2 linked regions of the Bombyx mori genome follow. The main gene of each other region encodes a partner of the protein of the gene in region 2 in a complex. Links are inferred from orthologs where the notes say so. Each region holds a gene or a part of one and is shown on either strand. Other genes may lie near its edges.

Region 1 (4,275 bases), on a different chromosome or scaffold from region 2:
TTTAGAGCTATGTGGTTCTTAAAAGACGAAGTGATTGTTATTACTAACTTAATAAATAAAATTTGAAAGGAAAACAAACCTCTATAGTCAACGCCGCTGTTTAATTTAACGACAACTGGGCGACCGTGAATCTGCTGTATAAACGAGGACAAAGCTTCCTTACGACTCATTTTTTGTGTTTATTTATTATTCTGATGAAATTGAAGACACGAAATACATTAAATGAAACTTAAAAATTTTCAAATTGGTCAAAGCGGGTGTTTTGATTACTTTTGATCTTTTTTTAAAGGTTTTTATGACTTGGTATCTAATACCTTTAGGTCGTCTTATTTTAATTTTAATGAATTTTTTAAAATGAAAAATTGTATTAATATTATGAAATGAAATGAAGTTGATTACTATGAAACATGGCATGAAATGAAATGTAATGAATTGAAATGAGATGTTATGAGATGAAAAATAATCTCAGTAAAATGGTGGTCATTTACTGAGACTTTTTCAGTGGACTTTTTGGAGGATGCCGAGAAGTTTGACATTCTATTTTCAAATCCAGTTATTTGTTTGTTGATTAGTGTTTTGTTTTCACTACATTTGTAATATAATGTATCTTACATCAATATGTACACGATAGAAAAGAGTGAATATGGAGAGTTCCGTCGCCGTGGCAATGCCGCAAAACGGCTCATATTATGTTTGGTATTTAAGAAATAATGTGTATGTACGGAAAGAACACTACAAAAGAACGCACGATTGGCCTGTACGGTTCAGCACAGAAGTTTTGATTTAAAACATTTTGCAGCTTTCAACGTTAGGATCAGAAGAATATTAGTTCATTTGGGTCAAGTTGGTGGGCAAAACTTGATATGTGGCACCCCCACACGAACTGAACGATCGTCACCCCATTAGGGTATCTTGAAGCATATTGTCATCTACGATGAATTATGTTGTTTATAATCATAAGCGGTCACATCAAGCTGGTCATTTGCGATGAAAAATGGATTATTGTTTATAATCATAAGCGGTCATCAAGCGGGTTGCAAACACACCCTGATTCAGAACTAGAGGCGACTTTACCTATGGTGCGAGGTGTGTGTGAGTTGCAGATGCGCGCTGCGGTTTTAGGGTGCACCGGCCTCTGCATTCTTAATGAATCAGTTAGATTTGTTCCTTTTTTTTTTTTTTTTTTTCGGGCCGGGGGCCGAACCTCCTACGAGGTCCCCGCGCCTAGGGGGCGCGCGGGGTATGTGAGACTCAGCGATCTGCAGGTGTTGAGAGCAGATCGCGGGCCCAAGGATTTTAGGGCCCACCCACCAAACGACTCCCCTGCACTCTTACACCCGACGTCCGATCTCCGTCCGGGGTCAGAACCCGTTCAGTGTAGGGGGGTTCCCGCGGTCAACACTACAACCAGACACGCGGCGCCACCCCGAGGACGCCCGACCGACGGGTCGTCGAGGCGATAGTCGACGACCAACGACGTCGGTCTCCGCGGTACGGCGGCCCTACCAGGCCGCCCGGGTGGTGCCGCTGGTGTTCCGGGATACCCCGCTGGGCCAGAACCAGCCTGCCGGGTCGGAACGCGATACACCGCCGACCGGGTTGCTCTTCAACAGTATGTTCGGCGACGACAGCGACGACGAAAATGCGGACCGCATCGCAGTCCGCAGCCGCCGACGCGCCGTCCCGTCCTCCTGGTGCAGTTAGATTTGTTCCTAGTCCAACTTGATTGCACGCTTACTAGAGGGCGCTAGAATAATTATTGCACTCGGACATTACATGGACTAGAGGTTCAGTACAAAGGCAATGCCTCAAATGAAAATCTATCTCTAAATATGTCATGTTCACTGTTTAGTGGCTTTGTTCTGGTATAATTCATCACAGCTTCCTACCAAATAGCATCATTACTACAGATGTGTATGGTGAGGAACAGGATACAATGATGAAGAAGCTTTTGTATCTCCAGCCTGCCCTTCTTAATCGCTTGTCCACACTTCTCCTATATGACAACGCTCAACCTCATATGGTACAATCGACCGTCTTTAAGCTACAAGAGGTATGGATGGAAGTTTTTGCATCCACCATACACACAAGTTGTTGCGCCAACAGACTTACTATTATCCTTTTTCCAAAGTTTGAACAACTTCTTGGTAGGGTAAAAATGCAATACCCAAGAGGTTAACTGAAAATAATTGGGCTTCCATACGCTCCACTTCTTCAAGGGCATTGAAAGATAGGCAAAAAAATATCAGTGATCTAGGGAAACAGCATAGTTACTACTTACTACTATGAATACTTATACCAAATTTTCTGGAGGAAAAAAAATGTTGGTTGGTTTGAATGATTAAAGTGAATGATGTGTGTTATTGAATGATTGATAACTGTCCACTTCGATAAAGCGGCACGACACGAGAACCCTCTCATCGTGGCCGCTGGTAACTACATTCCCGATCCTGCGGACAGAATGGAAAGCAGTCGACGTCGCCCAAAACACGTCATCTCGGATCCTCCTGATCCACTAACGGTGCTTTTAGGTACTTAAAGCACCGGTCACCGTTCTCGTCGAACCCGTCGCTTGCGACGAAGGGCTCGACGAGTAAATTAACTCTCAGACACAGCCCACTGAGTTTCTCGCCGGATCTTCTCAGTGGGTCGCGTTTCCGATCCGGTGGTAGATTCTGCGAAGCACGGCTCTTGCTAGGGTTCGTGTTAGCAACATCGTCAGGTTTGAGCCCCGTGAGCTCACCTACTAAAGTTAGGGTTACGCTGACAGCCGCTAGGGCTATCAGCTTAGGTAGGGAAAAAAAAAAAAAAAATTATAACTGTGAATGATATCGAAATTCAAATTGTGCTCTAAATTTAAATAAATGTTAACTACGGGGTATATGGGGTAATAAAACTAAACATAAACAGTATTTTTTTGTAACAAAATGTTCACTTTGCTTAAATATAAAAGTCTACGTTCTCTCTTTAGCTTCCATCGAAGTCCATACAAAACCAGTATAATTATTCAGTTCATTATCAGTCAGTGGGTATGGACTGTTGCTCGCTTTGTAGTAATCAGATGGAGCATGCATCACAAATTCCATGTATTCCAGTTTCCGAGGCAGCTCTTCTTCAGGGCCTGAAAATTTACAGCAATATTAACCTTAACTGTCACATTTTTTATATACACTATTCTTTTTTTTGCTATATGGCAGTTGAGTTTTCGTGATGCTATTGTTGCCAGTATTGAGTTAGTAAAAATCATATTTACAAAATAAAAATAAAAAATTAAGCTGAATTTAATTAAGTTGGTTTATTTCATTATATTCATTATATTGGGATGAAATTACATGATATAGATTGAAACAAGACGAGAGGAAGTGAAATCAAACAATGCAGGCTTTTTAGAAATGCCGTGTCAAGCGACTTATTTCGTTTTCTGCTATTCACGAGCTTTGATCGAATACACATTTAATGAGTCACTATTATTACAAGTGGAAAATCTAAAGCACTAAATTTACAAAATGAAAAAAATCACCCAAAATGCCTTAGATATTGAATAAATACTTTAATCACCTACTTCTGCCTGTTGCAAATATCTGTATTTCTAATTAAAATATTATTAAAAGCTCATACCAATGATATATGTAGCAGGATCAAAACATTTCTCTGGAGGTGGGCTCGCTTTTGTAGGTAATAACCAAGTAACAGCTGCACTCTTCTCACAGTACTCATCAGTTAGGAAGCCTCTAATTTGGGCATAGTATGTGCCACCATCAATGTCAGTCATCGAAACAATATCACCAACTTGCATGTACATACCCTGAAAAAATTACCACAGACTATTCAAAGCAGAACCGAGGTAATTTTTCAAGTTTTCATGTTTACTGTGAATAATAAGTTAGGGTTTTTTAAATTAAATTAATCTCTAATCAGTTTTTAAACTATAATTAGTATGCGATATAGCCTCAAGATTATTGAAAAATAAAAAAAAAGGTATATTTCTACAGCTGTTGTATATCTAACTACAGATTTTAATTGGATTAAATAATTGAACAGACCTGATAAAATACTGAATCACTTGTAACAACAGTCGCTGTAGCTGTTGGTGCTTTCAATGGCTGCCTTTTGAATAGACTCCTGCGTCCTCTGCCCCGCGGCGCCGGCTGCTTCAATGGCGGTGGAGCAGGTGTTTTAGGTTTGTATCTCGTTGATCTAGTGCTTTTCCTAGTGCCCTTGCCGGTAGCTTTAGCCGGCGTAGACTCCTCATTTTTACCATTATCTTTGTCTTCC
Region 2 (3,942 bases):
CCCTAACTTTTGTAGTTGAGCTCGCGGGGCTCAAACCTGATGACGTTGCTAACACGAACCCTAGCAAGACCCGTGCTTCGCAGAATCTACCACCGGATCGGAAACGCGACCCACTGAGAAGATCCGGCGAGAAACTCAGTGGGCTGTGTCTGAGAGTTAATTTACTCGTCGAGCCCTTCGTCGCAAGCGACGGGTTCGACGAGAACGGTGACCGGTACTTGAAGTACCTAGAAGCACCGTTAGTGGATCGGGAGGATCCGAGATGACGTGTTTTGGGCGACGTCGACTGCTTTCCATTCTGTCCGCAGGATCGGGAATGTAGTTACCGGCGGCCACGATGAGAGGGTTCTCGTGTCGTGCCGCTTTATCGAAGTGGCGCATCGACGCCGACTGTAGATACTTACTGATGGACTCTAAGTCCAGGTCGTCATGGAGGTCGACGTTCCTGACGAACCACGGGGCTCCGACGGCTATCCTGCAAAAACGGGATTGAATAATGTGGAACGATTTTAAGTGAGTGCGGGCCGCGTGAGCGAACACTACACTTGCATAGGTCATGACGGGGCGTATGCAAATTTTGTAGAGTGTCACCTTATTTCTAAGGGACATTTTACTTCGCCTACATATCATCGGGTAGAGACGTCCTAGAATGAAGGCGGCACGGTCGCGTACCGTCTTGATGTGAGGGCGGAATGTCATCCTACTGTCGAGGGTGACGCCTAAATATTTGACCTTCGGGGCCCACGGTATGGGCTGGTCGAACATCGTGATTGGGCGAATGGCGGGGGCGGAGGTGTTGACGCGCCTAGTCGGGAGGGGGATGCTCAGCGTGGTGTTCGGAGGGCGACCCCTTTTGAAGAGCACCGCTGTGCTTTTCGTGGGGTTGATGTCGATTCTAGTGACGACTGCCGGCGCAGCGGCTGCGCAGTGTCTGCGCCAGCCGAACCTACGTCTCGGGGGGAGGTGGGAACTATTGTTGTCACCTCAGCGGTACAATCGATAAAATAACTGCTTTGAACATAAATACTTTTGTTTTAAGGTTTTTTTTATTTTCTTTTTTTATTTTGCAGACGATTTCAGTTGTAACATTACGTTACAACACCCGCACGCTAAGCGGAACCCTAAAGTGTCGAACAACGCCGTGCGACCGACGCCGCGACGCCTCGCAGGATTCGTAAAAATACGGAGGGTCGATAAAGAAAAATTGAATAACGCGCACGCGCCGCGCCGGTCGCTGCACAAAATTATTAATTTTATTTAATTTAAATCCTATAACCTATATCCTATACCTATATAATTTAATTTAAATACCTTGTTGTACCTATAAGAGTTGTAACGATAAAATATATGATTAACATTAAAGCCTCAAATAAATAAACTTCACCTCATTTCATCCATATCATTATTAACTTCATATTAAATTGATATAAATAACAGAATAATTCCATGAAAGATTACGCTGTATGGACTGATACCTCCGCCTTTCTTGTTGGAAAATGGAACTGCTACTGTCATACGTCATACTGTGGTCTGTGATTTTTTTTAAGGTATTTTATGACCTGGTAAAAGTCAGTGTTTGTAAATTTACTCATAGAATAGTCATATCTTAATACCTACATATTATTAAATAATTATAAATTTAAAGTTCTCTATTTCACAGAACATTCTTTTTGTTATGAAGTAACAAAAAAGACAACGCCTGCTCTAAACTTTTTGAACACACTTCTATAGAAAACGTGAACAGTGACGAGAAACAAAATGTGAGAATAAAATAACTTTGGAATGTCTTAGATGTGAAAGGCAAATTTCAGTGAGCAAAATAATATCAATATTTGTTCAGTGGTCCTACAACACGATTATATTTTGCTCATAGCAATAGCAATTTCCAGAAAAAAGAATACAGGAATAATCGTTTGTTTGAAATAATACGTAAAGTAGTTTATTTGCAAAATGAGTTATATGCTAGGACATCTACACAATGGTTGGCAAGTAGATCAGGCCATTCTATCAGAAGAAGACCGTGTAGTGGTGAGTTTTAACTAGATTCATAGAATGTAGAAATCTGAGATTTAGTATCTGAAGACTAAAAATAATAATTATATTCTAACCTTACATCAATAGGTATTTGTTAAAGTATATAAATGCAGTAGAAACCAAGACCTTCAACCTTCTAGTATAAAAAACAATAGATTTTGAATTAAAGGAACTAACAAAATGCTTTGAGCCAAAACAGTTAATAGTTATTTAATTAGTGGCCTAATTGTCTTGCCCTATGATTCAACTATATTAAATGTAATTAATTCTAATTTACATATCTAGGTTATAAGGTTTGGACACGACTGGGACCCAACATGTATGAAAATGGATGAAGTATTATACAGCATTGCGGAAAAAGTAAAAAATTTTGCTGTCATATATTTAGTTGACATTACAGAAGTTCCAGATTTTAATAAAATGTAAGTATACCGTAAAACTACTTGTTCTAAATTTATTTCTGAAATTAAGATTTTGATAGGTTTTCTTAAAACCTTTGTGGAATACACAAGTCCTCCTACCTCCAGTGTTTTAAGGAAATTATGTTGTATTATTAAATTTGTTGTTTTATTAATTATTAAAAAAGTATCATAAGTGAAGAAGCAAAGAACTATGAGTTTTCTAGGAATTCTTAATAAGTCTGGTTCATACAGTAAATGAATTTCATTATCTACATTGTTAATAATTTTTTTCAAATTGTTGATTTTAAGACTAGAGTAGAACAGCAGTTCTTGATCACTGGAATGTTGCAAGTCAAGTGTGTTGTGAAAATTAGAAATACGATATTTCAATTTTTATTTAAGGTGATCTGGGAAATTGCATCTCAGGGATACATGTTGGTTAAATATACAATTGTTTATTAAATATTAACCATACAACAGTATTACATATGAGTGATGTAAATACCAACAACCATCACTCCCAACTATAAATCTTTGCATTTAAGGGTGTCATGTATATATAGAGTATGTTAATACATCATTAAGTAAAAAAGGTTGAAAGTTCTAGTCTAGTAGAAAGGGTCTAGTATATAAAATGACTAAGCAAGGCCTATAATAATATTATTTAAACTTATTTCTAGGTATGAATTATACGATCCATGCACAGTGATGTTCTTCTTCCGCAACAAACACATAATGATTGACTTGGGGACTGGCAACAACAATAAAATCAACTGGCCTCTCGAAGACAAGCAGGAGATGATTGATATTATTGAAACTGTGTACAGAGGGGCAAGAAAAGGACGAGGTCTTGTTGTCTCACCGAAAGATTACTCTACCAAATACAGATATTAGTTTAATTTAAAATAATGTTCCACCTGAATGGTCTAGTAATTTGTAATCATATCTGACATCATAGTCATCATAAATTTAGTAATGTAACTTTTTTTATATAAAAATAAGAACTATACATATTACATTATAACTCATGTGTTTTTGGAATTATGCTGTTCTTCCTGATATTAAACAAAGTAAAAGTAGAATAAATGACAAGTTTTATGCTGATGTAGATCCTTTTTTTTGTGTTGCAATATCTTCATCATTGAAAAAAAAAAAAACCATTATCAAAAATACTTTATTTTTATTTTTTATTGCTTAGATGTGTGGACGAGCTCACAGCCCACCTGGTGTTAAGTGGTTACTGGAGGTCATAGACATCTACGACGTAAATGCGCCACACACCTTGAGATATAGTTCTAAGGTCTCAGTATAGTCACAACGCCTGCCCCACCCTTCAAACCGAAACGCATTACTGCTTCACGGCAGAAATAGGCGGGGCGGTAGTACCTACCCGTGCGGACTCACAAGAGGTCCTACCACCAGTAAAATACCAGTAAAAGACCGATAAACGGTCGTGCCAAGGCCAAGAGGGACGAGAAGCCCTAAACACGTCATTTCGGATCCTCCC

The links. The genes of interacting proteins can lie anywhere in the genome.
Region 1: thioredoxin-like protein 4A (region 2) and U6 snRNA-associated Sm-like protein LSm6 share a complex: the UniProt entries of both Homo sapiens proteins name them as parts of the precatalytic spliceosome. The link is inferred for Bombyx mori from reciprocal best matches to the Homo sapiens genes TXNL4A and LSM6.

Annotation. Positions count from the first base shown.
Region 1 is NC_085134.1:2,613,339-2,617,613, reverse strand, and holds the start of U6 snRNA-associated Sm-like protein LSm6, read right to left. Parts: upstream 2,809-4,275; 5' UTR 171-2,808; coding exon 80-170; intron 1-79. Other genes in the region: GATA zinc finger domain-containing protein 1, read right to left, coding at 2,955-3,121, 3,619-3,805, 4,044-4,275. UniProt on the Homo sapiens protein: Plays a role in pre-mRNA splicing as component of the U4/U6-U5 tri-snRNP complex that is involved in spliceosome assembly, and as component of the precatalytic spliceosome (spliceosome B complex).
Region 2 is NC_085120.1:13,294,254-13,298,195, reverse strand, and holds thioredoxin-like protein 4A, read left to right. Parts: upstream 1-1,140; 5' UTR 1,141-1,950; coding exon 1,951-2,028; intron 2,029-2,319; coding exon 2,320-2,456; intron 2,457-3,115; coding exon 3,116-3,329; 3' UTR 3,330-3,539; downstream 3,540-3,942. UniProt on the Homo sapiens protein: Plays a role in pre-mRNA splicing as component of the U5 snRNP and U4/U6-U5 tri-snRNP complexes that are involved in spliceosome assembly, and as component of the precatalytic spliceosome (spliceosome B complex).